4 linked regions of the Tamandua tetradactyla genome follow. Each later gene encodes a partner of the first gene's protein in a complex. Links are inferred from orthologs where the notes say so. Each region holds a gene or a part of one and is shown in the gene's direction. Other genes may lie near its edges.

Evidence for each region.
Region 2: the proteins of CNOT1 (region 1) and CNOT9 are in contact, whole or in part, in a crystal structure (PDB 4CRU), measured with the Homo sapiens proteins. The link is inferred for Tamandua tetradactyla from reciprocal best matches to the Homo sapiens genes CNOT1 and CNOT9. Residues at the interface, in NP_057368.3 of Homo sapiens: Ile1415, Ala1416, Thr1418, Thr1419, Gln1422, Ile1423, Lys1426, Asp1427, Phe1428, Met1444, Asn1447, Leu1448, Gly1451, Met1452, Met1454, Ile1455, Arg1458, Glu1459, Tyr1548, Gln1549, Arg1552, Met1553, Pro1554, Gln1556, Ile1557, Leu1559, Val1564, Lys1567, Gln1568, Leu1569; in NP_005435.1 of Homo sapiens: Arg19, Glu20, Tyr23, Ile26, Asn27, Ser30, Ser31, Pro32, Arg35, Pro54, Met55, Trp57, His58, Ser59, Phe60, Gly61, Ile63, Ala64, Ala65, Leu67, Gln68, Val71, Asn72, Tyr74, Pro75, Ser76, Ile77, Asn78, Pro79, Thr81.
Region 3: the proteins of CNOT1 (region 1) and NANOS1 are in contact, whole or in part, in a crystal structure (PDB 4CQO), measured with the Homo sapiens proteins. The link is inferred for Tamandua tetradactyla from reciprocal best matches to the Homo sapiens genes CNOT1 and NANOS1. Residues at the interface, in NP_057368.3 of Homo sapiens: Ile2327, Ile2330, Lys2331, Trp2338, Glu2350, Phe2353, Gln2354, Val2356, Ala2357, Met2361; in NP_955631.1 of Homo sapiens: Phe40, Ser41, Ser42, Trp43, Tyr46, Leu47, Leu49, Thr51.
Region 4: the proteins of CNOT1 (region 1) and ZFP36 are in contact, whole or in part, in a crystal structure (PDB 4J8S), measured with the Homo sapiens proteins. The link is inferred for Tamandua tetradactyla from reciprocal best matches to the Homo sapiens genes CNOT1 and ZFP36. Residues at the interface, in NP_057368.3 of Homo sapiens: Gln821, Glu835, Asp845, Ala848, Asn849, Phe852, Gln853, Tyr856, Asn894, Glu897, Glu898, Phe901, Gln904, Tyr905, Pro906, Glu909; in NP_003398.3 of Homo sapiens: Arg314, Arg315, Leu316, Pro317, Ile318, Phe319, Arg321, Ile322, Ser323, Val324, Ser325.

Annotation. Positions count from the first base shown.
Region 1 is NC_135342.1:52,306,448-52,314,163, reverse strand, and holds the start of CNOT1 (CCR4-NOT transcription complex subunit 1), read left to right. Parts: upstream 1-4,704; 5' UTR 4,705-5,017; exon of another isoform or gene 5,018-5,127; intron 5,128-5,394; exon of another isoform or gene 5,395-5,489; intron 5,490-7,716.
Region 2 is NC_135329.1:194,077,605-194,085,407, forward strand, and holds the start of CNOT9 (CCR4-NOT transcription complex subunit 9), read left to right. Parts: upstream 1-4,803; 5' UTR 4,804-5,303; coding exon 5,304-5,327; exon of another isoform or gene 5,328-5,522; intron 5,523-7,803. UniProt on the Homo sapiens protein: Component of the CCR4-NOT complex which is one of the major cellular mRNA deadenylases and is linked to various cellular processes including bulk mRNA degradation, miRNA-mediated repression, translational repression during translational initiation and general transcription regulation.
Region 3 is NC_135339.1:81,420,150-81,426,623, forward strand, and holds NANOS1 (nanos homolog 1), read left to right. Parts: upstream 1-4,916; coding exon 4,917-5,759; 3' UTR 5,760-5,973; downstream 5,974-6,474. UniProt on the Homo sapiens protein: May act as a translational repressor which regulates translation of specific mRNAs by forming a complex with PUM2 that associates with the 3'-UTR of mRNA targets. Capable of interfering with the proadhesive and anti-invasive functions of E-cadherin.
Region 4 is NC_135342.1:24,566,746-24,574,036, reverse strand, and holds ZFP36 (mRNA decay activator protein ZFP36), read left to right. Parts: upstream 1-4,274; 5' UTR 4,275-4,354; coding exon 4,355-4,378; intron 4,379-5,159; coding exon 5,160-6,116; 3' UTR 6,117-6,816; downstream 6,817-7,291. UniProt on the Homo sapiens protein: Zinc-finger RNA-binding protein that destabilizes several cytoplasmic AU-rich element (ARE)-containing mRNA transcripts by promoting their poly(A) tail removal or deadenylation, and hence provide a mechanism for attenuating protein synthesis.

The DNA of each region.
Region 1 (7,716 bases):
TTATTTTTAATCCATATGTTTTACTTGTCCATCAATAAGGTAGACAAAAGGAGCATCAGTCACAAGGCTCTCACAACCACACAATCACACTGTGACAGCCATATCATCATACAATTATCTTCATGAAACATGGCTACCAGAGCACAGCTCCACATTTTCAGGCAGTTCCCTCCAGCCTCTCCATTACATCCTTTTTGTTTTTAAATACCAAAAAGCACCAAACACAAACATTCTTAACTTTTGACCTTCCATTCTACATATATAATCAGTAATTCACAATATCATCACATAGTTGCATATTCATCATCATCATCATTTCTTGGAACATTTGCATCTATTCAGAAAAAGAAATGAAAAGAAAACAGAAAAAAATTCATATATGCCATACCTCTTAACCCTCCCTTTCATTGACCACTAGCATTTCAAACTAAATTTATTTTAACATTTGTTCCCCCTATTATTTATTTTCATTCCATATGTTCTACTTGTCTGTTGACAAGGTAGATAAAAGGAGCATCAGACACAAGGTTTTCACAATCACACAGTCACATTGTGAAAGCTGTATCATTATATAACCATCTTCAAGAAACATGGCTACTGGAACACAGCTCTACATTTTCAGGCAGCCTCTCTGTTACACCTTAACTAAACAGGTAATATCTATTTAATGTGTAAGAATAATCTCCAGGATAACCTCTCAACTCTGTTTGGAATTTCTCAGCCACTGACACTTTATTTTGTCTCATTTCACTCTTCCTCCTTTTGGTAGAGAAGATTTTCTCAATCCCTTGATGCTGAGTCTCAGCTCATTCTAGGGTTTCTGTCCCACGTTGCCAGGAAGGTCCACACCCCTGGGAGTCATGTTCCACATAGTGGGGGGGCAGTGAGTTTGCTTGCTGTGTCGGTCCAAGAGAGGCCAAATCTGAGCAACAAAAGAGGTTCTCCTGGGGGTGACTCTTAGGCCTAATTTTAAGTAGGCTTAGCCTATTCTTTGCAGGATTAAGTTTCATATGAACAAACCTCAAAATTGGAGGCTCGTCCTATTGCTTCGGCTGTCCCCACTGCCTGTGAGAATATCAAGAATTCTCCACTGGGGGAAGTTGAATTTTCCCCCTTTCTCACCATTCCCCCTAGGGAACTCAGCAAATACTTCCCTATTCACTGTTCGAATCGCTCTGGGATTTATCTGGGCATCAATCTGGACAAACCTACAAAATCTCATGCCCTACGCAAGGTTCCATGTAATATGGTGTTCAATTAAGCTGTCCACATAAGTTATATTAGGAAATGCGCGAGTCAAACTATAAATTTTGTACCAAAGAAACATTTTTTGGTTGTCTCACACATAGGTTAAAGTTTTCAAATATTAATTACCATCTATTTTCAACACCCTGCATTACTGACATTCCTTTGTTCTTCCTCATGCAGAAACATTTTTAAATTTGCACATTTAGTCACTATCATTATACACTCTAGGCATTCCTAGATTATACCACCTCAGTCTTTATTGTCTATCTTTCCTTCTGATTTTATTTGGCACCCAGAATTCTTGACACATACTTGATGGACTCTGATCTCCAGCCTATCGGGGGAATTCTGTAGGTCCTGTGACTGAATACACAGTGCACTTGTGGAGGGTGAAATCCCAAGAGTGGCTTTGTGCAGCTCTGGGAGAGGGGCTGGCTGTGGCTCAAGGGTCTGGAGCAGCCTAAATTTAAAATAGCAAATCATTTTCCTCTCAAGGATGGGCTGAAGTGGGGAAAGGCACCTCAACTTTATCTCAGCCGATCTTTATTTCAGGAGCTCTAGGTTTGAGACCTGAAAGAGTTGTAGAATTACACAGTTGATCTTAGTTGACCTCTATCAGTCTCAATTTCTACCTCTTTTAAATTACACAAATACAACATGAATACTTTCTTTTGTAAAAAGTTTAAATAATACAGTAATACACAGGATAAAAAGCAAACATTCCCTTTACCATTCCTCATTACCATTCCTTTCCCCAGGGATAAAGGGATATCCGTTGGGTAATGTAGCTTTCTAAACCTTTTAATATATTTAGTTCTATGTAAATACAGGAATATATAGTTATTTTCTTCCATACAAATGGTAACACTGATTTTATTACCATTCCCTTTCCCACCCAATCTTCACTTTTTAAATTTAACAAGAAATCTTGGTAATCATTCCATATCACTAGCTATAAGTTTACCTTTTTTTAATTAAAAAATGTTTTTTTAATTGTGAAAAATAACATATATCAAAAAACCCATAAATTTCAAAGCACAGTGCACACATTAGTAACAGAACAGATTTCAGAGTTTGGTATGTGCTCTAGTTTGCTAGCTGCCGGAATGCAATATACCAGAAATGGAATGGCTTTTAACAAGGGGAATTTAATAAGTTGCTAGTTTACAGTTCTAAGGCCGAGTGAATGTCCCAGTTAAAGCAAGTCTGTAGAAATGTTCCATCAAAGGCATCCAGGGAAAGATACCTTGGTTCAAGAAGGCTGATGAAATTCAGGGTCTCTCTCTCTCAAGTGAGAAGGCACATGGTGAACACAGTGAGGATTTCTCTCTCATCTGGAAGGGCACATGGCCAACACAGCATCACCTGCTAGCTTCTTCTCCTGGCTTCCTGTCTCATAATGCTCCCCAGGAGGCATTTTCCTTCTTCATCTCCAAAGGTCGCTGGCTGGTGGACTCTGCTTCTCGTGGCTATGTTGTTCTGCTTTGATCGCTCTGAATCTCTTTCATTCTCCAAAGTGTTTCCTCTTTTGTAGGACTTCACAAACTAATCAAGACCCACCCAAATGAGTGGAGACATGCCTCTATCTAATCCAGTTTAACCACCATTCTTGATTAAATCACACCCCCAGGGGATGATCTAATCGCAGTTTCAAACATACAGTACTGAATAGAAATTAGAAGAAACGGCTACTGTTACAAAATGGGATTAGGATTAAAACATGGCTTTTCTAGGGTACAGACATCATTTCAAACCAGCACAGTATGGGTTACAATTCCACAATTCTAGGTGTTTCCTTCTGGCTGCTCCAAGATGCTGGAGACTAAAAGAAATATCAATATAATGATTCAGCAATCATATTCATTTGTTAAATCCTATCTTGGACTCTGTTATAACTTCATCTTCTCCTTTGATCTTTCTCCCAATATTTAGGGGTACTTGGGCTATGTCCATTCTAATTTTTTCATGTTGGAAAGGGCTGTCAATAATATGGTATAGGGGAATGGAACTAGTCGATGCACTGGAGAGGCTGGCCACTCTGAATTTCAGGACTTATCCAGCCTAGGAACCTTCTGGAGGTTGTAGGTTTCTGGAAAGTAATCACAGTGCATGGAACCTTTGTAGAATCTCAGATAAATCCCTAGGTATTCTTAAGGGTTGGCAGAAATGGTTTTGATTGGAGTTTGGCAAACCATGATAAACAGCAATATCTAGTTGAAGCTTGGCCTCCAGAGTAGCCTTCTGCCTCTATCTGAACTCTCTCAGCCACTGATACCTTATTTGTTACAATTCTTTTCCCCCTTTTGGTCAGCAAGGCATTGTCGATCCCATAGTGCTAGGGTTAGACTTATTCCTGGGAGTCATATCCCACGTTGCCAGGGAGACTTTCACCCCTGGATGTCATATCCCACATAGTGGGGAGGGTAACAATTTCACTTGCAGAGTTGGGCTTAGAAAGAGAGAGGCCACATCTGAGCAACAAAAGGGATCCTCTGGAAGTAACTCTTAGGTATAACTAACTATAGGTAGGCTAACCTTCTCTGCTGTATAAATCAGCTTCACAAGAGCAAGGCTCAAGCTCAAGGGCTTGGTCTGTTGACTTGGGACAGTTTGGGACAGTATCAGTGTTTTCCTTGGTGGTAAAGTTTAATAGTTCCATATTTTCTCTCCAATCCCTCAAGGGACTTTCCCAGTACTTTTTAAATATACGCTCAATATACTCTGGGATGTATCTGGGCATTATATTAAGCTATACAGAATTACAGGCCTTCATTCCCATTCTGAGGTTCCTGTGTTTGGGTTGTTTAAGTGATCTATCCAGACTGGTTGAGTTAGATTATGTGCTACAGAAAACTTAGGTTCTGGACAAAATAAAACTAATTTTTTTGGTCTCAAAGAGTATAGCTGTACCTTTCTTTTTAACAACTTCATTGTGTTCCAGTACATGGCAGTACAATACATTTATTTACCATTCCCCTATTGTTTTCAATCTTTCTGCTCTTTATAAATAATTCTTCAATCATCTTTGTGCACACGAATAAAACTGGGGAATAAATCCCTAGACATGGGATCAATTACTGGGTCAGCGGGTCTGTGCATTTTTAGGTTTGATAAACTGGGCCAAAATACTATCTATACAGATTTTGTCAATTTTTATCACCAGTAGAAAAAGAACTGTCCCTTTGACTTTTTTCCCCAGTGTAAAAGGATAGAAGTGACCTTTTTGATAGCGGTTCTAGGGCTTAAATCAGGAAGAGAACTTTAGCTTCCTAATTCTCCATAAGGCGTCCCTAAATCTAGGTGAAAGAAGTTCCCTTGACTGAAGCGGGACAACCTATGACCAGGTGAAGGTCCTGGAAGACTACATTCCCCAGTATGCACTGCTTCTCCCCAGGCGCTGCCAGTGACGAAAGTGGACGCGTTAGATTTGCGTCAGGAACGGGGGGCGGAGGAAACTACACATCCCAGGGCGCACAGCGCCACCACACTAGTCCTAACCTGGCTTGCTTCCCGGTTGTTGGCGGTCCTCGCCTTACTCCACAAGGCGAGGAAAGGGACAGGATCGGAGGAGGATGTTTAGGCTTGAAAGTCCTGTAGTCGACCGGACTGTGACACTACGAAAAAGGAAGGAAAGTGGAGGAATGCTGTCTAATGCCGAACTCAAAATTGTTACCGCGTAGAGTGGCGAGGGGCTGTGGACCACCTTTCCTTACTTATTGTTTCTCGGAAGCAATGCCAAGGTCCCATTGGTCGAAGACCTCGAGGGCAGGTGGGACGTCCGTGGACCCTGAAATCGAAGTTATTTGTATCTCTCCATTGGTCCTCGCTTCGCGCGCAGGCGCGAGAACGCTAACTCCAGTCCCTGGGGACTGGTGAGCGGCAATTGGTCAAAACCCGAGAAGTAGGAGTCCGGATTGGTAGTTGCTAGCAGGAGCTTGGTTTCTTCCTTGACTTCTGCAAGTGATGGGGCTTGATTGGTTTAAATCCGCGGGCACCTGTCGGTGATTGGGCGGGCACTATGGGCTGGGTATGATCATTGGCTGGTGGTCGGGCCATCCCTCCACGGGCGGGCAACGAATGGTGAAATGGGAACGGGGAGGGGAAAGGCCGCGACGTGAGCGCGCGACCTCCGGCGCCATTTTGTAGAGAAACAAGCGGAGTTAACCGAAGAGGGGTCGAGGAAAGCCGGAGTCGGGGGACCCAGGAGTTTCCTGTGTCCAGCGCCGCCGGAGCTGCCTAAGGTGAGGTGGGTTTGGGTCAGGGGCCGCCATAGGCGGGCCATGTCAGCTACGGAACGCGAGAGCTTGGGTGAACGCACAGGGGGTGGTCCTAGGGCCATTGGAAGCGTTTCCCAGAGCTTCGAGGAGCGAGGGGCAGCCGGGACGGGAAACTGGCCAGGCGAGGGAGGGCGGGCTCTCTCCACCGCTCGCGGCACCTTCAGGTAGTGAAAAGAAGCGGCCGTCCCGAAAGCTCTGGCAACCGGATGGCAGAGCGCGGGCTGCGACCCGGAGTGGTCCCCCGGCCCGGGCCTGGAGGTTCTGAGGGCGGCGGTGGCGGCAACTGTTCGGTCGGCCTGGGCCGCGCTTTGCTCGAGCTGCATCCATCTCGGACTCCACCAGCCTTCCGCAACTGCTTCTTCCTCTCCAGGCTCTCAGATGGGTGTAGTGGGCATTGGCCCCCGAGGCCTAACTCCATGGGCAGGGGGGACAGTGTTTGGAGTTGTTACTGACTCCCAGTTCTTGTCCAAGTACCGGGTGCTGCCGGTCTTCCCCTAGCCCCCAGCACGTTGTCAAATCCCCATGTTTCGGGTGTCTGTAGGTGGGAGGGGCGAGCGGGAGGGAGCGAGCACTTCCTTATTACTTCTGGTCACAGGTTTACTTCCACTCGCGCGCCCGTGCGGTCAGACTTTGTCCGACGTCGACCCCCCACCTACCCGCCCGGTGTCTCCCTTAGCAGCGGTCTTCATCCATGGGGAGTCCCCCCTAGTGAGCTGAACACTTGCAGGCCTCAGTGCTGGTGAGACAGTTGCTTTAGATCTTGCAGGGGTCACTTAAGGCCGAACACACTGGAAATATCCTTTTCCAGTGCTCAAACAGATGTGACCCCCACGAGGCGTAAGCTTTGTTGGTTGAAACACGCACGCAACTGGTTGATAATGTGTGTTTGAAAATGTGTTTAAAGTAAACTTTATTAACAGAGAAGTAAATTATTGCCCCTGAAGTCACTCGGTCAGATGTCACATTTCTTAGGACTTTAATTCAAGTCTGTTTTCTTCCTGAACATTCTGTACCAATATTTTATTTCCCTGCCTATTTCCTTACAATTCAATTGTCTGTGACGACTTGGGGATTTCTTTAACAGTCGTAATTGAGTGAGTTTGAGTATTTGTTTTTGAAAGAGATTCTGAACGTCTCGTTCAGACGTTCGATAGGGATAGTGATACATGGATAAAAAAATGATGAGAAAGGCAGTAAAAATTCTGAAAGTATGTCAAACAGATTAAGAACAAATTTGTTTTTGTTAAGTATTTAGGTTGGAAAGTGATTTGTGTGAGGTTCCTTCTCTTCCAAAGATAGGCAGTCCTGCATTTTAGATATTAATAAGGTGTATGGTAACAGTTTAAATAGTCTTGTTTTAGGACTCTGCAAATTGTTACCTTGTCTAAGGGAAAAATGAATTGATGATACTTTGAAATGGTGGCATGTGGATAAAACTTGTTCGGAAAGTTGGAAAATTTGTCCCATTTCAACAAGAGAGGGTCACAAGTCATTTAGTGGAAATTCAAGTCTAGAATCAAGGCACAAAGACTTGACCATTACATTATGAACTGAAAATATTTGCCTTTCTTATCTAAGTCTGTGATCTTAGAAGTTTTTAAGGCAAGGTTTTGTGACATTGTGTAACAGAAGTGAAATACTCTTCCTTGGTTTCTAAGGCAGTTGGATGGATGCCTGGTTTAGTGTTTTTTTTCTTTCTGGTCTCTAAATTTCTACTGGAGGTTTAAATCCTGGTCTCCCTAACCTGTACTGTGACATCCTCTTGCCTTTGCGTTAAGTTGTTAAAAACAAAACTCTCTTCAAAAAGTGCTTTAAAGACTAATGTCTGGTGAATGCATAATTCTATGATTATACTAAGAGCCATTGCTTGTACACTTTGGGTGGATTGTATGGTGTGTAAATAAAATTGTTAAAAAAGAAAGACTTCTTAAAATTTCCTTATATGTTGCTTTTCCAAGTGTGCTGTTTTTGGTTAAATTCTGTTTCAGTTACAAGAAGCTTTTTTGTTAATGAGCTTAAATTTATGAACTTGATTCTTTATTTAAATCATTCTATGAGGTAAAAAATCTTTGGCACCCATTGCCACCACAGAAGGGAATGGGTCCACAGTAATTCTAATTGAATGTATTTTAAGATGGTGATTTTTTTTGTACAGTATTTATGTTTCTTGAATTAACAAAAATAGTAATCT
Region 2 (7,803 bases), on another chromosome or scaffold:
ATTTACTGAGGTACACCAATCTGAAGGCACTGTTGTAGAGAAACAAATGTGAAGATGAAAGTCTATGCCCTTATAAAGAGGCCCCCAGACTTCTCTACTTTTGTCTGCCTATCACCACTCATACAAGATAGCTTAGTATCCAAAACCCAAGAATCCAGCCTTTTCATAGCTACTACCCTAATTCAGAAACTCATCACTTTGCCATCAGATCACCCAATATTTATTATGCAATTTACTAAGCACAGTGCATTCTCAATTAATTTTCACAGTAATCTCAAAAGATAAGGATTACTGCTTTCTGTTTTACAGATAAGAACGAAAGGCTTAGAGATTAAGTAATTTATCTATGATCACAGAGTAAGAGATAAAACTAGGTCTAATGCCCATACTTTAAAAATTACCATATTCTATCCTCATCAATGAACTGCAGCAATTGATTTCCAGTTTCCATTCTCTCAGGATTTTTCCACCCAACGAATCACTTATATTACAATAATCATTCTAAAAGAACTACTCTTTTGATATCTTCCCAATTCATTATGGACTAATTGTCTCCTTAACACTCTCCCAGAATGGGGGGAGGAGGGTAAAGAGTAGGGGGAGTCACATCTTTTTGTATTCCAACAAAATACCAAACACTTAGTAGGTGCTAAATTTTTTCTATCAATATTAATTTCCTCACAAACATTTTAAATAACTCATCACTACCTACAGAATAAATCCAAATGCCTCTCTGTGCTTGTCATTCACACATTTCCTATTTCTAAACACAAATCCTATCCTACACAAACAACAATTATTAAAATTTAATATTTCCTCCCACATCCATCACCAACTGACTTATAAATGGAATACTGTTTTATCTACATGGAAACCTCATCTTCAAGTGTCTTAGTTACCCTGTTGTTCAAATATATAAATCACTGTCCTGATTTTTGAGGCCTTTCTTTCCTAAAAAGATCCATACAACAAATAACACAGAGATAAAATTAGTGGTCTGGCTGACAGTGAGGGAAGTTGGCCTAGATAAATTTAAGTCCAATTATAAGTCTAAAATCTGAATGATTTTATGATATAAGAACGACTAAAGTGATACAAAGCTGTTCAAGCTTTTGTCTCTTGTGTCTTCTAATCTATTTTGCAAAATGAAAAAATTGTTGTCATGAGTTGACAAGTATATCAGTAAGCTAGCTCTTCCAAAAGACATGATTAGTTCTCAGAGCAAATACTAATTTATTTATTTTCAACAAATTATTAAGAAATACAAATAAAATCGTCCCTAGCTTATATTCAAGTAAGAGACAGACTTTAATCATAGAAACAAACATATAATTACAAGTTCTGATAAATGATATGAAGGGCATGAAAAGAGATTATAACAGGGTATCTAATTTGAGATTTAGGGGCACAGGGTAAGGAGCATAAAGAGAAGGATTCTATGAGAAAGTACCACGTAAGCAGAAAACTGAAGAATGAATTTGAGGGGATGGAGAGTGGTGTTAGAACATTCCAGGTAAACAGAATAGCACATGCAAAGGCGCTGCGATGGGAAAGAACTTGGGGCAACTGAAAAGCAGCAGCAAGGCTGAAGCTTGGTGAGGGAAAGGAGAATGTTGCAAGATGCTGTTATATGCAGGCAAGAACCATGTTATGCAGAGTCACGAAAATTAAAACTTTTTTTCTAAATGTAATAAGCACTTAGTGATCAGAAAACATCATGCTGAATGGAAAAGTAATGTGATTTTGTTTGGGTTTGGAGAGGAGAGTGGAAAGGAGCAAGAATGGACAGGGCAACCAGAAAGCATACTGACACTGTTCAGCTTATAGCAATTACAATAACAATCAGCATTTACTGTGTGCGAAGTGCTTACCACAGTTATATCATTTAATCTCCATAACCATCCAATAAAGTGGGAACTCTTATTATTCCCGTGTTACAAATAAGAATACTGGGAACTGATTAAGCCCAGGTGAAACATTGTGGCTTGAATAAGAAAAGTGATAGTGAAGATGCAGACAGACAAGTTCAAAATATACATATACCACACACATACACATATACATACACACACACATATGTAAACATGTGAAAAGACAGAACTTGGAGAGGGAATAGATAAATGGGATGAGAGGGAAGCTATGAATGATTCAAGTTTCTAGCTAATGTTGCTGGATAAATGGATATGCCATTTAATGAAATGGGGAAATGGAGAAGAAAGAATTAAAAGTGAAGAGAAACCAAAATTTTCGATTTTACACATTATATCTGAAATTCCTAAGGAAAAAAAATCAAGTTGAGATGTTAAGCAGGAAGTTGGCTATTTAGATCTGGAGTGCACATGCACATGCACACGCACACGCACGCACACACACACACATATACACAAAAGGAATGGGCCGGAAATAAAAATCCTTCAGTGATCAATATAGAGACAGAATTTAAAGCTTAGGGAGGAAGATAAGAATAAAAGGACCTAAGACTGAACCCAAATATTCCATTTTACACATTAAACATCTCCTGCTAAGGTCATGGATTACCCCAGAGTGATATGAACAATGAATAAAAAAGTATTTGCAAACCCTTGTGGGAATGGCGAGAAAGGGGGAAAATTCAACTTTCCCATGTGGCGAATTCCTGATATTCTCAAAAGCAATGGGGACAACCAAAGTAATAGGCCATGCCTTCAATCTTCGGGTTTGTTCATATGAAACTAAACTCCACAAAAGATAAGCTTAAGCCTACTTAAAATTAGGCCTTAAGAGTCACCCCCAGAGAACCTCTTTTGTTACTCAAATGTGGCCTCTCTCAGCTCAGCCAAAACAACAAGCAAACTCACTGTCCTCTGCTCTCTATGTGGGACATGACTCCCAGGGGTATGGACCTTTCTGGCAATGTGGAACAGAAATCCTAGAATAAGCTGGGATCAGGATCAGGGGACTGAGAAAACCTTCGCTACCAAAAGGGGGAAGAGAGAAATAAGACAAAATAAAGAGTCAATGGCTGAGAGATTCCAAACAGAGTAGAGAGGTTATCTTGGAAGTTATTCTTATGCATTAAATAGATATTCCCTTTTTAGCTAAGGCATAACAGAGAGGCTGGAGGGAACTGCCTGAAAATGTAGAGCTGGGTTCCAGTAGCCATGTTTCTTGAAGATGATTGTATAACGATATAGCTTTTGCAGTGTGACTGTGCAATTGTGAAAACCTTGTGTCAGATGCTTCTTTTATCTACTTTACGGGCAGATGAGTAAAACATAGGGATAAAAAATAAATAAATAATGGGGGAATAAATGTTAAAATAAATTTAGTAGATTGAAATGCTAGTGATCAATGAAAGGGAGGGGTAAAGGGTATAGTATGTATGAATTTTTTTCTGTGTTCTTTTTATGAATCGATGCAAATGTTCTAAGAAATGATCATGATGAATACACAATGTGTGATGATATTGTAAGTTATTGATTATATATCAAGAAGGAAATGATCATACGGTAAGATTGTTCGTGTTTGTATGTTATGTTTAAAAAATAAGTTAATTAAAAAAAAAGAAATGAAAAGTTCAAAAAAAAGATCACAGATTACTTCCATGTCACAGGTTTTCCAGGCCTCAATTCAACACTATTGACTTATTTCATCTCTTCTCCAACACTCATCCTCCTATATCCAGTTATTAAATATTACCAATTTCTTAACGCTATGAGCTAAATCCCTTCCATTTCCATATTTTCTTTGGGCAACTGGATCCACATTCATAACTTCAATTACTACGAATATGGCAAATGACAAAAACACATATCATATATAAACATCATTACTGGAGATACATATTTCCAGTCTAGAACTCTGATGAGCTCCAACACTATATCCAACTGCCTCTTAGATTCCAGTTAGAGGCCCGTCATAAATTATCACCCAAAAAAGGCGTTTACAAGAGGTGAAATTTTGAAGAGAATACCACAAAACCACTGTTGGCCAATTCTCCAGAACATAGGACTCTGTGGTCGACTACCATTTCCTTCCACAGATCATGATCTAAAATAAAAATAGGTAACGTGACAACCTGATTTGATGGCTTTAGAGACAGGGACCAATAAAATGCAAGACAAAACTACAATTCATGATTTTTAGCGACTGATGGTTAAGAGGGGAAAGAAAGTGAAGACTGGCCCAGAGACTGAGTGAGTTTCACCTCCAAGACCTGATGGGATGTGCAGCAACGGAAGTCACCTGAAGAGATGGCAGGCCTTAAGGGGCAAGTGCCGGATGACGACAACCCCAGTGTAAGGGGGCCAGTTTCAGGTTGCGGAGGGTAAGACTGACAATAAATACCAGTACATAAGAAAGGGAAAGCCTGGAGGAAAGAGCCAAGTGGAGTACCTGTGACGCCTTGGGAGAGCGTCGAAGGGTTGGGGGCTGACTGAGAAAAGCGGGGCGAACTCCAGAAGAGAGAACGCCGAGTGGGCGGAACACGTAAGGGGGAGGGGGAAGGAAACGGCTCAGTTAAGAAGCTCGCCTGGGGCGCCTTACCTGTGCCTTCGGGTCCGGAGCCCCAGAACAGGCCGCCGGCAGCACAGAATCCGCGTGGAGGGGGAGGGGCGGGGGCAAGGAAAGAAGGGACACCAACACGGAGGAGTTAGGTCGCTCGCTCCCCCCTAGCCAGGGAAAGCAGCTGATGGCGGGAACTGTGACTGTACGCAAACACGCACGCACGCACGCACACTCGACGCGACTAGGCTTGGCGCGTGCGCGGAAGCTTGAAAGCTCCGCCCCTCGTACGTCCTCTCCCCCCTCCCCCCAACACCAAGAGATGCTGAGCCCAGGTAGTCCCGCCCCTGCCGTGACAGTAGTACGCATGAGCACTTTCTATTTCACCCGCTTTCGCCCTCCCAACCTTTCCCTCCTACTCAGTTCTAGTTGGGCATGCGCACTAATTGTCCTCCCGAGAGAGTCCGGTTTTTCCCGCCCTTCACGGGCCTCCGGAATAGGAATAGAGTTCACGCCTTTCTGGGGTTACCTACTAGATGTCGGAGGATGCAGGGAGTCGCAGGTCGTGGATGTCCTTTCCGCCTTGAGTCTTAAAGGGCAAAGAGCATAGTCTAGGATTAACTCCTCCAGAGGCCAGGAGGCGGGAAGAGGTTGTGTGGGCGGGTTCAGGGGTGAGAGGTCATAGGGCTGCGAAGGGGCGGAGCGAACAGTTGGCGGATGGCGGTTGCGGCAGCTCATCATCTTCGGTGGCAGCGGCGCTGAGACGGAGACGCGAGTCGGTCGCGTCTGGTGGTGGGAGGAGAGCGTCGGCGGCTCCCAACATGCACAGCCTGGCGACTGCTGCGGTGAGTGACTGTTTCGACTGACCTGGGCCCAGAGTCCCTCTTCAGCCCCACTTTTCGGCTTCCTTTCCTAGCTCTCTGTATCGGGCCTTCAGTCCAGCTCCTTCCGCCCTCCACCCGCGAGGCTCCGGTTCCCCTGCTCGAGGCGCCTTGGCTGTGGTAGGGCCGGCCCTCACCTTCCCAGCCGACTGGCTTTCCTGGTCTCTAGTGCCGGGCATCGCGTTCTTTTCCCGCCCCGGGGCCTGGTCCGGTTCCCGGAGCGCCTTCCTCGCGGCTGGGGCAAGCCGTTCATTGATTCACTGCGCTGACCGACAGTTTCAAGGCGCCAGTTGTGTTCGGGCGCCGGCAGGGATGAGGGCACTGCGATGGCAAACCTGATGCGGCCTGTCCTCTCGGAACTCACCGCCTAGGCACATCGCAGCGCGAAGGAAATGGTTTCTAGCTTAAACGACTTGTTTTACAGGTGGAAAATATGAGACATGGAAACGTGAATAATTATTGCATCTGACTTTTGGTTCTCTGCATTTAAAGCTTTTCTGACAGTGAGAAAGTTTCTCGTTCAAACACCGTAAAGTAGCCAGGCTTCACCATTCACCAGCGTGATAAACAAGAAATATGGATCATGTAGTTCACCTGTGTGAAGTACTACTCTGACTTCCCATTGCGCTTAGAGGAAATCCAGACTTCCTACCATGCCCTACAAGGCCCTGTATGATACAGTCCTTACCCACGTTTATAACTTCATGTCACTTTATAAGTAAGCTCCAGCTACACTGGCCACCGTTCTATCCCTTCTTCATGCGCTTTTCCACTCAACTGTGCACTTTCTGGTCTCTGTGCCTGGAATGCTTTTACCTGTTTCTCTCTCCCATGTACAGTGTGTGGGTATAACAGCCTCCTCATCCCTCAGATTTCACCTAAATATACCTACCAGTGGTCCTCCCTGACCACCCTATTCACAGTAATTTTGTATTCTGGAGCTTTATTAGATAGAATACTCTTCATGCACTGAACCCAATTTGTAATTATTGTATTCGTTTACTTTTTTTTTTTTTGTCTGTCTTCCCCTTGAGGACAGGGATTATAGAGTCCTGTGTTAGTTATTGCCCCCGTGCCAGGACAGCTCCTGGTACAAAGTAAGGATTCAAATATTTCATTGGTTGAAGGAATATTGATGAGGGAGATGACCACTGACAGCACATAGCCATAATGGGAAAAAGAGGGACCATTTGCTACATCCTTTTCCCCAAGATGAATGATTTAAGGAGATAGTAATGTACTGGAATTGCATTACCAAGCAAATGACATTGGGCACCCAAAATTGCCTTAGTTTTAAATTTGAGGGAAAAAAAGTGAGCTGAATATGGCTGGGTTGCAGAAAATATTGCTTTCTGAGATTTGATCTTTATGGTCTCATTGCCGTTTCCACAGGCAGACGTATCTGCCTCCCATTACCATGTTTCTAAGTGTTTATATCTATTCAAAGTAGAGAGGTAATTTTTATATCTCCCAAATTAGATGATTACGATTTTCCTACCCAGTCACAAGGTAAAGTTGCTGGTAGGGGAGAGGCAGTTTAAACTGAGGGAAATTCAAAGGTTGACTTATCCAGCTCTCAAAATCTGATTATATCTTCTCCAGGTTTTGTACTTCTGATATCAAGCCACTCTTCCCTGTGTCCCCTAAACTGTATACTGAATCAGGTTGCTAAAGCTGCCAGATGCAATGTACCAGAAATGGAAAGGCTTTTACGAAGGGAATTTACTTTGCTACAGATTTACAGTTCTGAGGCCAGAAAAATGTCTAAACTAAGGCACCCAGGAAAGGATACCTTGGTTCAAGAAAAGCTGATGTCATCACATGGAAAAGCATGTGACTGGCTTCTACTGGTCCTTGTTCCATTCCATTGCTTCCAGCTTCTGATGCCAATGGGTTTCCTCTCTAAGCATCTATGGGCCTTCGTTTAGCTCCTCTGGGACACAACTCTGGTCACCTCTAGCCCCTCGTGGGAAGGTACATGGTATGGCTGTTGGGTTCTGCCCATGTCTAGGCACCTGCTCTCTCTCGCTCTGTCAGAACTCCAAGCATCTCCAAATGAGCATTTCTCTTTCGGCTCTGAAGCAACTGTCCTCCAAGCATCTGCATATGAGATTTCTCAAAGATGTTTCCCCTATTAAAAGACTATATTAAACTAATAAGACCCATCTTGAATGGGTGGAGTCATGTCTTCATCTAATCCAAAGGTCACACCCACAAATGGGCACGTCACATCTCCGTGGAGATAAGCTAATCAAAAGTTTCTGCCCTGCAATTTTGAATTGAAATTAAAAGAAATGGCTGTGCCTTCCCGTGCCAAAAAAAAAGAGAAAAGAAATGGTTGCCCCCACAAGATTGGATCAGGATTAAAACATGTCTTTTCTGGGGTACATAATAGTTTCAAACTGACACAATACCTTTTCAATTCCTTTAATTTTCCGTT
Region 3 (6,474 bases), on another chromosome or scaffold:
TGGAAAGCCCCTGGCGCTGATGGTTACTACTGCTTTCAGCTGGGAGACTTTAGCCCAAGGCAGTATGGACAAGAGACACAGCAACTGTTCTCAATTCTCTGTATTTCCTTCCAGCCCTGGTCCGTACACTCGCGAAATTCTGACATGTTCATCACCTCCATCTGGCCAGAGTACTATTTCCTAACTCTTTTTGATAGAATTACTGAACTGTGTTTTCCCATACTGCTACATGTTTCAATTAGAACAGATCCAGATGCAAGTAAAAGAACGCCCAACTCACATGGCCTGGAACAACCAAGATGTAATTCTCATGAAACAAGTCTCGGGTCATTAATAAAAATGTCGTCAAAGCTGTTTGGGGTTTTTTCCCTCTTTTTTTTTTGATCGTCTATCACCAATGTACCAGCTTCTGGTCCATAAGACTTGGCACCCCAGGGCTCAGGGCTCCTGCAGCTCCAGAACCTGCTCAGGGAGGAAGAAGATGGAAATACGGATTCTCTCCCCCACCCCTTTTTTGTTTTTTAAAGAAGGGAGTCAACTCCCTCCCAGATTCTTCCTAACAGTTACGTTTCAACAGCCACATTGGGTCACCAGCCCTCTCCTAACCCAATGGAGACTAAAGGGCAATGGGATGCCCCAGCCTGGCTTAGCCCTGTCCTCATGTATCCTCCGAGGCTGAGGCAGGGTCTCAGCCAGCACAAAAGGGAACAAAATAAACAAGAAGGAGAGAGCAGCTGCTGGTTGGCAACTCTGATCATTAATTTGATGTCAACAAGGCTGGGTCTTGGAACCCAGTTCTTTAATCAAATACTAATCTAGACATTGCTGGGATGGTAGTTTGTAGACATGGTTATCTTTAAGTAAAGGATATTTTAAGTAAAGGAGATCACCCTTGAAAACAGGGTGGGCAGTGGGGGCTCAGACTTGCCTCCTACAATCAGCTGAAGACCTTAAGAGACAAACAGGTTTCTCAGAGAAAAGGAAACTGCCTCAAGTCTGCGGTATCAAGAGCGAACCCTGCTGTACGCCATGGGCTATAGTTAAGAGAACATGCATAAAAATGTCACACCCACTGTCACAAATGTACCACATTAATACAAGGTGTGAATAACAGGGTGGTATATAGGAACTCTGTATTTTGTGCATGATTTTTCTGTAAACCTACAACTTCTTTAATAAAAAATAAACTGCAGTATTAAATCTTCCCTGGTTTCCAGCCTTCCCTACAGACACTGGACTTAGCAGTCCCCACGACCGTGGGTCACCTCTTTAAATCATCATACACATGCAAACACACATCCATCCAATTGGTTCTCTTTCTCCGAAGAAGCCTGCCTGACACAGCAACCAGATGTGCTGCCACTTTGCACAATGTGCCACCTTGACTGATCAGAGGAAGAAACTGAGGCCCAGAAAGGCAAAGTTCTTCATCCAAGACCACAGGTGACTTTGGAGAAGCACTAGGACACAAACCCAGGCCACCTGTCCAAGTTACCCTACTCCCCCACCTGGCTTCTCGACTGGGGAAGACTTGAAGTGTCCCCAATAGGCAAGAGCCCCATTCCGCTACAGAAAAATGCAAGCCCTCTGCAGAAGAGCGCCTCCCGCGTGCCATGCCTGACTCCCAGCCCCAGGCCCAGAGAGCCAAAGCACTTCCTGCCCTTACAAAGGCTGGGCAGGCGGGTCTGCGGGAACCCAGAGCGGGACAAACCACATCTCTGTAGCTGCCTGGACACATGCCAAGCTGCCTCATTCCCCAGGACTGACCTCATGTTTCTGAAGAGCCTCAAGACGCCTGAGGTCTGTGTTGCCTCTCATGGTTCAGTTCTGCTGCCAACAAAGGAAACAGCCCAGGCGGGGGATTGGAAGCCGCACAGAGAGGTGGGAACGCAGGGTTCCATCAGCCCTCCCCACCATTACCCAGGCCCTGCCGGAGCCCACTGCCAGTGCCAGCCAGGCCCCACTCCAGGAGACACTGAACAACACCTCCGACTTCTGATTTGAGACCTACCACAATCTGTCTTCCCAGCCTCTGCGAGTTTGAGAATGCCCCCTTGGAGAAACGTTCACACTTTGGTTATTTCCATCTGTTTCATTCCAGACTCCTGGAAAGTGAACAAAAGGCACTCAGACTTCATCTAAGGTGCTAAGAACATCTCTGAAGTCAGTTCTACCACCTCAAAGAGAGCTGGAATGCTCACAGTTGGGCTGAGGCTTCTGCTTGGGGACAAAAGTAACTTTATTTAGCCCTGAAGCTGAACCAGAGGTCCACTGTGGCCCTCCAATGCTCACACACAACAAAGGCTCCTGGTGTTGCCAAGGCCCAGCACATACCCCCAAACCAAAGGCTTTGTCCACTTTGCCTCCATTTGCAGACATTCCTTCCATTTCCTGGTGGGCAAGGTGAGCAACCTAGGAAAACAGTACGTGGCCATGCCCAGTTCCCTTTGATTCTCCCAGGGTTTCTCCGGACAACTGATGTTCCCCGAGCCCAGGCCACAGCTTCAAATCAAGGCATTTGTTCTAACTCATGTTTCACTTAAAAGTTTTTATTCCCTTTGTGAAACCACAAGGGCTGCAAGCCACGTTGTGGAGGAAAGCAGGCCTCAGCTTATTTGCCATCCTCTCTTTGGCCTGGCCGAGTGAGCAGACACAGCAGCTGGCAATGTTAAACTCTCTTTGTAGTTTTTCTTCGGATTGGTGACTTCCCCTTTTTAGAGTTTACCTTGAAAGTATGCAGGCCCCAGGGCTGCCTGGACAGAGTGGAATTTTCCATTTATAGACTAATAGTCTTTATACCACAGTGTAGGCTGGAGTTCTCATGGTGAGCTGGGAGTTCGGTGTCAGCAAACTTGCCAGGCTTTCTGCAGGAGCCCCACGGCATCGGGCTTTTATTTATTTTTGGTGGGAGAGAGGGAGGAAATAAAGGAATGGCTTTTTAACTTGAGTGCCAACACAAACTTGAAAAAGGAACTGGGTTGGCCGGGGCAGAACATCATGCCCGCTTTCAGGAATTAGGGGGTAGGAGGTGAGAAAGAGACAAAAACACACCTTCTACTCCTAACACAGACAGGCAGCCAGAACAGGCATCCCTTTATTGCCCTAAATCCCTTCCTGTCCACCCAGCCCCTGGATTGCTCCCAGAGGGCCAGAGCCCAAGCCAGGGGCATGCAGGCCCATCCCATTTGTCCTCGTCCTTCCCAGCTTCCCCTGTCTTCTGCATTTGGTTCCTGCCGAAGCATGTGCAAACTTATAGTCTGAAATACCTCGGGGTCTGTGGTATGGTAGGAAGAGTGAGGCCAAGAGTTCTGGGGCCTGGGTCCCAGTCCTAGCTGTCACATATTCACTGTCGCCTTAAATTGGAAGTCACTTCTTGTCTCTGGCTCTCATTTTCCCCATCTTATAAAGTAAAAACTGATGCTAAATGATCCCAAGGATTCTGTCCTCTGCTGGCATTGATTCATTCATGCAAATATTAACGGGCCACTCTTCTCCAAGGCAGGCACTAGGTTCTGGGACCCCCTGGGAGCTGTTCCACACCTCCTGGGCAGAGTCATACCCTCGAGCCTGCCTCCTCCTTTCAGTACCGCAGCACGTCCTGCGTGGGGAGGAAAGCCCGGCCAGGCCGTCCGCCCAGTCTCCAGCAGAGGCATTGCCGGGTCCCAAAGAACCCTAGAGGAGCTTTCCTGTACCTAAAACCATTCTCACTTTTCATTTAAAAAATAACGTTGCCTCCAGCCCAGGGAGGGGAGCGACCACCTCTCCCCCCCCCCCCCCTCCAATCAAAACCCTCTCTAAACCTTTAGTTTCCATTGTTTTCACCAAAAAAAGTTTCATTCATTTCGAAGTATTACATTATGACGTCAATAATATGTCTTCCAAATTGCACCAACACCACATTTCCCACAGCCCCCTGGGAATGTGGGTTGAAACACACGCGCGCACACCAATCGCTGCCCTGGGCCCTGGGGCTGTAGGTTTCCTAGCTGACGGCCAGCCGGTCTGAAAACCTACTGGAAGTCTGCTGCGCGGGGTGGGAACGTCCCGCGTCCCTCCACTGCTTACTCTACCTGCTACAGCAAGAACCGTAACCGCTCAGAGCCTGAGAGATTCATGTGCGGGTTTCACCCTGGGTGAATGCGCTCCGAGGCACTGTGCAAGCCGAAGTTACTAGTTCGTCGGGCGGCTGGGCGGTGAGAACTGCATCCTTAGATCGCACCCTGTCCTGCCTCCCTACTGCTTTCCCTACTGACGCCGGTGCTTCAGTGCACTAAGTGGGGGTTGCGTGAGCCCTGGGGCATCCCCCCCCATCGCCACCCCATCCCGGTCCTTGGCGAGCCTCACCACCAGGCGGAGGAAGACCCAGGCCTGGGCACCTGTTCCAAGCCCCGGGCACATCACTCAGGCGCAGGCGGGTCGCGGCAGCCGCCCCACCCTTCGCCTTCTTGCAGCTTTTTCCCTTCCCTCCCAGCAGCGGGGACAGTGCACGCCCCCTCCCAGGCTTCACCAATCAACGTCCGGAGCGGCGCCCGTGGCGCAGGGGTGCTCAGCTCAGTAGCCAATTAGCGCCGGGGCCCGAGGCGGCGCCTCGCCCGCCCTCTCCTACAAGGAAAGCCGCCCCGCAGCTGGCAGAGCTGGCGCAGCGCGTGGAGCGCGGGAGCCGCGCGGACACAGCAGAGCGCGCACCCGCCCCCGCTCCGCCTGCGTCCAGGGCGCGGGCGAGGTGGCACGGGCGCTGGAAACGCAGGGGGCAGGGCCGCGGTGGCGGCGAGCCCGGGGGGCGGGGAAGACCCGGACCCGATAAAAGGCGGCGCGCGGCCCCACCCCGCGGCAGGCCGGCAGCAGGCTCGGCGCGTCTCTTCCGTCCGGCCCGCGCCGGTGGCGGGGAGGCGGTTCGCGCGGCTCGCAGCCCGCCCATGGAGGCTTTCCCCTGGGCGCCCCATTCGCCCCGCCGCGGCCGCGCCCCCGCCCCCGCCCCCCAGTCCATGGCGCTTGTCCCCAGCGCCCGCTACGTGGGTGCTGCGGGCCCAGCGCATCCGCAGCCCTTCAGCTCGTGGAACGACTACCTGGGGCTCGCGACGCTCATCACCAAGGCGGTGGACGGCGCTCGCGGAGGTGCCTCTCCACCCTCCTCCCCCTCCTCGTCTTGCTGCTCTCCTCACGCTGGGGCTGGGCCCGAGGCCCTGGGACCGACGCTGGGGGCACCCGATTACGACGACGACGACGACAGCGACGAGCCGGGGCCCCGGAGTCGCTACCCGGGGGGCGCGTTGGAGTTGCGGGCACTGGAGCTGTGCGCGGGCCCTGCCGAGGCCGGGCTGCTGGAGGAGCGCTTCGCCGAGCTGAGCCCGTTCGCGGGCCGCGCCGCCGCGGTGCTGCTGGGCTGCGCGCCTGCCGCCGCTGTCACCGAGACGGCGCCGCCGCGCGATGAGCGAGCCCCCGCGTGGGCGGTGGAGCCCAGGCTGCACGCAGCCTCAGGGGCAGCCGCTGCCCGGCTGCTCAAGCCCGAGCTGCAGGTGTGCGTGTTCTGCCGAAACAACAAGGAGGCGGTGGCGCTCTACACCACCCACATCCTGAAGGGACCCGACGGGCGAGTGCTATGCCCCGTGCTGCGCCGCTACACGTGCCCCCTGTGCGGTGCCAGCGGCGACAACGCGCATACCATCAAGTACTGCCCGCTCTCCAAAGTGCCGCCGCCGGCCGCGCGCCCCCCGCCTCGCAGCGCCAGGGACGGCCTGCCAGGCAAGAAGCTGCGCTGAGAACCTAGCTGCAGCCCGTTGGCTCTAGACGCCACCAGGGTCACCCCCTACCCAATCTCCTACTTTTGGTCAGCGTGCCCTCTCTCCCTCGTAGTTGGGGAGCGTGAAACTCAACAGTTGGCGCAACTTGAGGTGTCGTCGTAGCGGTTTTTTTTCGATAGTTGACCGTGTGTGGAGTACTTTACTGGAAGAACAATTGAGACTAGATGCTTAATTCTTGACTTTGTGTATCTTCACAGTTTCTAATTTGGGCTCACCCAGAATGCCGAAGGCTGGATATATGGCAGTGTCGAGGCGCCGTTTATTTACAGTATACGTCGACCTATTTTAGATGCACATCAGTATGAAATTCTCAATCTAATCTTGGATGTTTCGCTTTATGAATAGAGGCACTTTATTAGGTCTAGAATATTTTTTTAAAAGCCTCTGAGCTTAAAACTGGCGATTTTATGACGTGTTAGCAGAGTGACTATTTTATTGTTTGAAGCAAGTAATACTTAGTTGTCCTTAATCAGTTATTTTAATTCCAAGGTGAAGCAAGCCCCTCCTAGTAGCATCACCGTTATAACGAGTGAAGGTTTAGTAAACTTTCCAGTATTCGTTTGGGTGGATATTCCCTCCTTGTGGCTTGTTTCCGTGCTAGCTGGAGGTGTAAAATGCAGTCGGTAGAGAAGTAGCAGGTAGAATGCAACTCCTTATCCATTTCTGTATCAGA
Region 4 (7,291 bases), about 28 Mb from region 1:
AAACATGGTAAAGTAAAACATAGTACATCAAAAAGAAGTTTAAAGGAGAGAAATAGAACAGAGAAGTGAGATCAGAAGTGGAAATTTGTAACAGCAAAAATGTTGGTACTTGGGAATAAATCTAGCAAGAAATAACGAGACTTGGATATGGAAAACTGCCTACTGAAAAAGTTTGAGATGAGGTTGGGTATCTATTATCATGGTCTATAAATAGATGCCACATATATTTTCTTGGTATTATGTTTTAAATAGATAAGGACATTTTAAATATTTTTTTAAAATCCTCGATGGAGGTCAAGAAAAGCTTCTGTAAGGTGATGTCAGAACAAAGATTTGAAAAAGAAGAGAAAATAAGTCGTGAACATCAGACAAGAGCATTGGGGGGGAGCGGGGGAAATTAAGTGCTAAGGCCTGGAGGCAGGAAAGTAGGGATGTGCTGGTATGTTTATGGAACATTGAATCGTGGACTTCAGTGAGGGGACTGGAAAAGGAGAGGAGAGAAAGTCAAGGCAGATCACAGAGGCCTTTGGTGAGGACTTGGTGCTTACTAAGCCATTGGACTCGGAGACTGTTGCAGCTTGATGAGAAACCATGCACTCTGAGGAGGGAGTGTACATCAGATGTATAACCACACTGCAGGAAAGAACAGACAGTAGGGATACCCAAGGCCCCCCACTCCTCCGCAGAAGACAACCATGTGACTGGGCCACAGAGGAACTGCATCCAATGCTCCCAGGGACCCTGACCCAGTGGCATTCCCACAAACAAACTCTCCAGTGGAACAACCCAAACGCATAAACACACAAATAACCCTCTAACCACCACTTAACCCGCTATCTCTCGCCCCATCTCAACTTTGCCCATCATGGCATGACTCAGTCCTGCCCTCAGAACAACACTATCAAATGCAGAGTCATAGGGGACAGATAAGGCCAAGCACAGATCTGGCCTCTGGCTTCTCAGGTGTGGGTGTGATATCTGCTCTGCCCACAGAGGCGGACAGGAACAGGAGTATAGAGGGGGGCATGACCAGCCATCCTCCCAGTCACGCATGTTGTGGACGTCAGGAAACAAAGTTCATCAGTTTCACACTGCCTTGTGACTGGGCCACAGAGGAACTGCATCCAGAATGCAGACGCTGTGCTACCATGTTATGCATGCACAATCACAGACACCTATAGAGAAGGGAACAGATGCAAGCGGCCACTATTCACACACCTGATTATCACACACACTGAGCTATGGGGGCTTGCTCACACAGATACTTAGACATTGAATTTCAAAGTTGTTTTTATTCAGACCTTCAGTCATACCCTCACACAGCCCAGATCCCCAAATGGCGTACACACACAGTTGTACACATAGTTATACAAGGTTCAGGGCACCCTCAAATGCACGAGAGGGCACATACAGTCATACTCTCATCCAGGCACCTTCAAGGAGTTACACACACAATCACTTCAGACTCCAGAGTGGTACAGAGCTACACAGATGTGATGGTTAAAAAAACACATGGCCTAGTCAATCACACAGACACAGGCAGTTTTACACATCCATTCACACACAGTCATGTCATGCAGGACTGGATACATGCAGCCCTCACACATAAAACTAGACAGTCATGTTGCACACCTACTTCCCCAACTGTATACCCAAACACACCAGAACTCTCACCCAGTCATGCCAGGGAACACACCCTGCACCTGCAGTGCACCCACTACTCACACAACTTCCTACATGTTCACAGGTTGTCCCACACCTGCCCACGCAATCGCACACAGCCAGCCCCACCCTCGGTCACACCCGGCTCCCACGCAGTCACGCCAGGCACACGCACGGGCCAGACACAAGCGCTGCAAGTACACAGCCCCCAGCACGCTTGCCCCAGCTCTCACACCCCCGCGTTTCCCGTCCCCGCTTGTTTTTCTGGAAACTGCTCTCCGCTCCCCACCCCCTAGCCGGAAGTGCTCGCAGTATTTTTAGCCTCTCTGGTTTCCGCCCTTTGCCCCCTCCCCCTCTCACCCAGGACCTGTCGCTACCCCACCCCCGCACCCTGGCGGGGGACCCCGGCCATCCCCTTCCCCAACATCATTCCTGAGGGGATTCCCGGCCGCTGCTAGGGCCGCGGATTTTCCCGCTGGCTACGTGGGGAGCCGGGAGGAGTCCTCCCTTGAACTTCCTCCCGGGCCCGGACGCCCCAGGCCGTAGGGGCGGGGGTTGGGGTGGGGGATGGGAGCCCATCCTCTAGGTCTGCGGGAGGAGGGAATTGAGGACTTGAAATTTTCGGTCTGACAGAGGGGTCTGGGGGTCCTCTTAGACTAGGGTCCGATAGAAGTCTGGGAGTTCGGATTCTCGGGTCTGAGTGAGGAGGTGGCTTGAGGACCCGGACCCCTGGATTTGAGCCAGGAGGGACTGAGGGCCGGACTCCTGGGGCCTGCACTTCAGTGTTTTGGGCGGTCGGTCCAAGTCCGGACCAGGGGCCCCCTCCAACCTCTTCATGCGTGGCCATATCCCGGGCGTCCTGGCCTTCAGGCCGATGACTCAGCAGGTGGGGGAGGGGTGGGGGGGGTCAACCTGACTCAGGGGTGGGAAATGCGCCCTGTCTCCCGGGAATCGAAACTGGAATCCTTCCTCCAGGATCGCAGCCAGAGCCGATCCGGGCTCCGGGGACGCCAGGACCCACTTTTCCCGCATTAGCCCTGCCAGCGGCAGCGGGATTTGGAGCCGGGCCTGAAAGCGAGTCCCAGGCACCCCCGTCCCCCCCTTTCCCGGCGTCCTAGACGCTCTGTTTACAGGGTACAAGATCCCTGGTTACAGGAGCAGAACCCCGGCGTCCGGGCCGGGCCTCCCCGTCACGGCTTCCAGGAAGCCCCCTCTCCCCCGCCCCCTGCTAGTGAGTCACCGACGAGCGGGAGGCCGCAACCGTGCCAGGGCCGCCTGTGGCCGCCCAGCTCACGAGACCGGCCCGGGAAGGCCCCGCGGCCCCGCGCAGAAAGCGCCGCTCAGGGATTCCCCCGCTGCTCGCGGGAGGAGAGTCTGCGTGGAGCCTGGCCGCATGTCTCCCACCTTGCCACACGCCTGCACCCGCAGCTTGCAAGACTGAACTTTCCATCATTACAGGTGGTGCTCGGTGACAAGGATTTCATCCCCCATATTTTCGCTCAGAGCAGTCGTATCCCCAAAAACCCTTTAAAGGTTTTCTTCCCAAATCTTAAGATTGGGTTTTCACTCAGGCACGCACAGAACAGTCCCAACCAACCCTCAGTTGGGGAATGACCCATTTCTTCCAACTCCACCAAAATGAAAGATCTTACCCTTTCCAGCCTTAAGCGTTTTCTCAAGAGGGCAAATTTCTTCACATAATTTAAGGCCCTAGTATGAGGCACTGCTATTTACTAGCTAGGGAACTAGGTGAGTAATTGAACTTCTCTAGGCCCAGTTTCCTCATGTGTAAACCGGCATAATACCTCTCGAGTGGCGATAATGATTGAGTATGTAAAGCGCTTTGGACAGTGCCCAGTCCAAAGGCAGGCATCCAAAAAGGCCACTGTCGGCTTAAGGCGAGGGGTTACAGGGACCCTGAGAACTGGGAAAGGAGGCCCTGGCCAGCCAGCCGCACCAGGTATCCTGGGCCCACCCCACAGCCGGGGGTCGAGAGGGCCGTCCCGGACTTCGGATCTCGGCCACTTGGGTTTCTTCTCCAGACCTGTTTTGATCCTCCATGTTTCTGTCCCTCTGTGGGTGTCTGTTCCTCTGTTTGTTTCCCCCCCCCCCCCTTTTTCTTTGACCCTTCCGTCCCGCTTCTGGCTCTGAATTTGTGAATTTGTCAGTCTGAGATTGTCTCTGTCACCTGTCCTCTTTACCCAGTCTCTCCCTCTCTAGGTATGCCTCTTCCTGTGTGTCCCTCCTTCTGTGTCTCCCCGTAACTCTGTCTCTTTCCCTCTCCGTGTGTCTCCCGGCCCGTGTCTGTCCGTCCTTTCTCTCGCGCGCGGCCTCCCGGCCTCTGCCCATGCCTCCGCCTCCACGCCCCCCACCCGGCCTTCCCCGCGCCTCAAACCCCAGCCCTGAAACCTGGACAGACAATCCCCATGGCCCGCGACTGCGCGTTCAGACGCGCGTGGTAGCTGGGGGCCGGGGGGAAGGGGACCGGTCCAGGGTCGGCCGGGGAGCGCGGGGGGTGCTAGTCCGGGAAGCGCCCCTGTGGTTCCGCCCCCACAGCCCCGCCCTGCGCCCCGCCCCCGCTGGCCCCGCCCCCATTTCTTTAAGAAGCCGGCTCTCGGGCCGGGCTGCAGCCTGCGACTCCAGCGCTGCCAATTCCGGCCGACTCCGCAGCCGACAGGCCGCCCGCGCCGCCATGGATCTCGCCGCCATCTACGAGGTGAGCCCCGGCTAGCCGGCACCCCCGGGTTCCGCACGCTCGGTTCGCTGGCGCCGCAAACTTCGAGTCTCTGGCCGCCCTCTCAAACTGGGGCTTCTTAGCGCCGCACAACCCGGCCCGGGGCCCCCGCCTCTCTCTTTACACCAGTGTGATTCTCTGGAGGCGAAAACGGAACCCACGACTCCGGGTCTCGGTCCAAACAAGGGTGGCGATGGAACGTTGGGAGACTTTTGTCAGGCTAGGGCTGTCTAGGGGCGGAAGTGACTCCCACACCTGGCGTACACCTAGTAGTTGCTGAGGGTGCGGTTTGCGGGGAGGCATTGCAAGGGCTGAAGTCTCGGAGGGTGGGGGGAAGCGGCTTATGTTCCCTCACTCCCTGACCCGTCAGAGAACTCCCAAATCAAAGAGATCCGGGCTCCGGAGTTAACTTTGCCCAAATATTCCAGTTGTGAAACTGAAGAACCCGGATGCGTGGGCCAGATCGGGGGGCAGTGGTGTGCCCCAACTTTGGAACCCCATCTCTATCCAGCCGGGCTCTAGCCTGGATCGGAGAGTCGGGACCCCTAAGTTCCTCGGGTAGGCTTCAGCCATGGCTAAACATTAAACCTCCAAATCGGTTTCCCTGATTTGGTTATGGAACTGAAGGGTTTCTGCTGGTCGATCGTGCTCAGGCCGGGAGCCCACAAACCGGGCTGGCAAGCTCTTGAAATGCCCTGCGGCGGGGCCAGGGCGTCACCCTACATTTTCGGTGTCTTAACCCCCTCCTCCCCTTTCCGGGCAGAGCATCCTGTCGCTGAGCCCTGACCTGACATCTACCCGCGGAGGCACGGAGTCCAGCCTGGGCTGGGCCACTTCAGGACCCTGGAGCCTGAGCTCATCGGATTCTAGCCCAGCCGAGGTCGCCCCTCGCCTGCCCAGCCGCTCCACCAGCCTGGTGGAGGGCCGCGCTTTCAGCTGGGTGCCCCCACCCCCAGGCTTTGCACCTTTGGCTCCCCGCCCAGGCCCTGAACTGTCGCCTTCACCCACCTCACCTACTGCAACCCCGGCCACTTCGTCCCGCTACAAGACTGAGCTGTGTCGGACCTTCTCTGAGAGCGGGCGCTGCCGATATGGGGCTAAGTGCCAGTTTGCCCATGGCCTGGGTGAGCTGCGCCAGGCCAGTCGCCACCCCAAGTACAAGACGGAACTCTGCCACAAGTTCTACCTCCAGGGCCGCTGCCCCTATGGTTCCCGCTGCCACTTCATCCACAACCCCAATGAGGACCTGGCCACCCCTGGCCAGCCGCACATGCTACGCCAGAGCATCAGCTTCTCAGGCCTGCCTTCTGGCCGCAGGGCCTCACCACCACCAACAGGCCTGCCGGGCCCATCTCTGTCCTCATGCTCCTTCTCGCCTTCCAGTTCCCCGCCACCACCCCCTGGGGACCTTCCCCTCTCACCCTCTGCCTTCTCTGCCGCCCCTGGGACCCCCATGCCCCGGAAGGACCCCACCCCAGCCTGTTGCCCCTCCTGCCGGAGGGCCACTCCCAGCAACAGCCTCTGGGGGCCCTTGGGTGGCCTGGCTCGGAGCCCCTCTGCACACTCCCTGGGCTCGGACCCTGATGAATATGCCAGCAGCGGTAGCAGCCTGGGGGGCTCTGACTCACCTGTCTTCGAGGCAGGGGTTTTTGGACCACCCCAACCACCTGCGGTCCCCCGCCGACTCCCCATCTTCAATCGCATCTCTGTTTCTGAGTGACAAATGTTTTCCGAGTACAGATCAGCTGGATCTTAAAGGGGGGCCATCTCCTCCATACTGTGGGCTCCACATGGGCCCAGGGGCTGTGGGGACCTGGGGGGCCCTTAATTTAATCAAGCAGCCCTCCTCCCACCTTCCAAAATGCATTAACCCACTTCCCTGACCCCACACTAGGGCAGGTCCCCAGTGTGCAAGCTCTGACAGTGTTCCTGGTGTTGGGGGTGGAGGGTTTTTTTGGGGTCCTTTAAAACAAGATGTAGCAAACCTTTTCCCTGCCCACATCTCGCCTCCTGGAATCATGTGCTGTGACTAATAGACCCCCACTACCCACTCCCAATTTTTCCTAGACTCTGAGGTTCCAGCAGCTGGTGATGACTGGAGCCTCCCCTGAGGGGGAATCCTGGTGCTCAAATTTCCCTCCAAAAGCAAGTAGCCAGAGCTGTTGCCAAACCCACCCACCCCCAAGCCAATGGGCCCTTTATTTATGACGACTTTATTTATTCTAATAGATTTTATAGTATTTATATATATTGGGTCGTCTGCTTCCCATGTATTTTTTCTTCTTTTTCTAATATTGGAAACGATGGAATAATTATTGTTATAAAAATGCTATATTAAGTAATATATATATATATTGTTACCTAAAAAGTCTATTTTTGTGCCTTTTGGAATTTTTAAATAAAAGGAATGGGCGTGTAAACTGGAACCCTGGCTTTTCCGCCGTCTAAACTGGTTTAAGAGAAGTGGGAAGGACAGTGTAACCCTTTTTTGAAGCGGGGTAGAGTCAACTGATAGCTCCAAACCTTCCCGGAGCTGAGAGCCCCGAGGCGCTTACCTGGCAGGAAATGATGTCACCGGGCTCGGCCGCTCACCTGAGAGGGCGGGGCCAGGTGAGATCACACGGGTAGAACCCGGAAAGCCTGTTCCCTGGGCGTGGGCTGGCGCTACCGGCCTGTCAGGCTCTCGACCCAACTTGCGGGAGGGGACGGGATGTTTCAGTCCCCGGGGACCGAGGGGTGAAGGAGGGGCGGAGTGGGGAGGACGGAATGTACCGGAGCGCGAGCCCAGGGCGGGGGCGGGCGAGCGCAGTGGGGGTTACGGGGCCATCCCGGAAACGCGGGGCCCGGGCGTCCCGGGGTCTCGCGACAGCGGGGAGTTTCTGGATTTGAGGATCT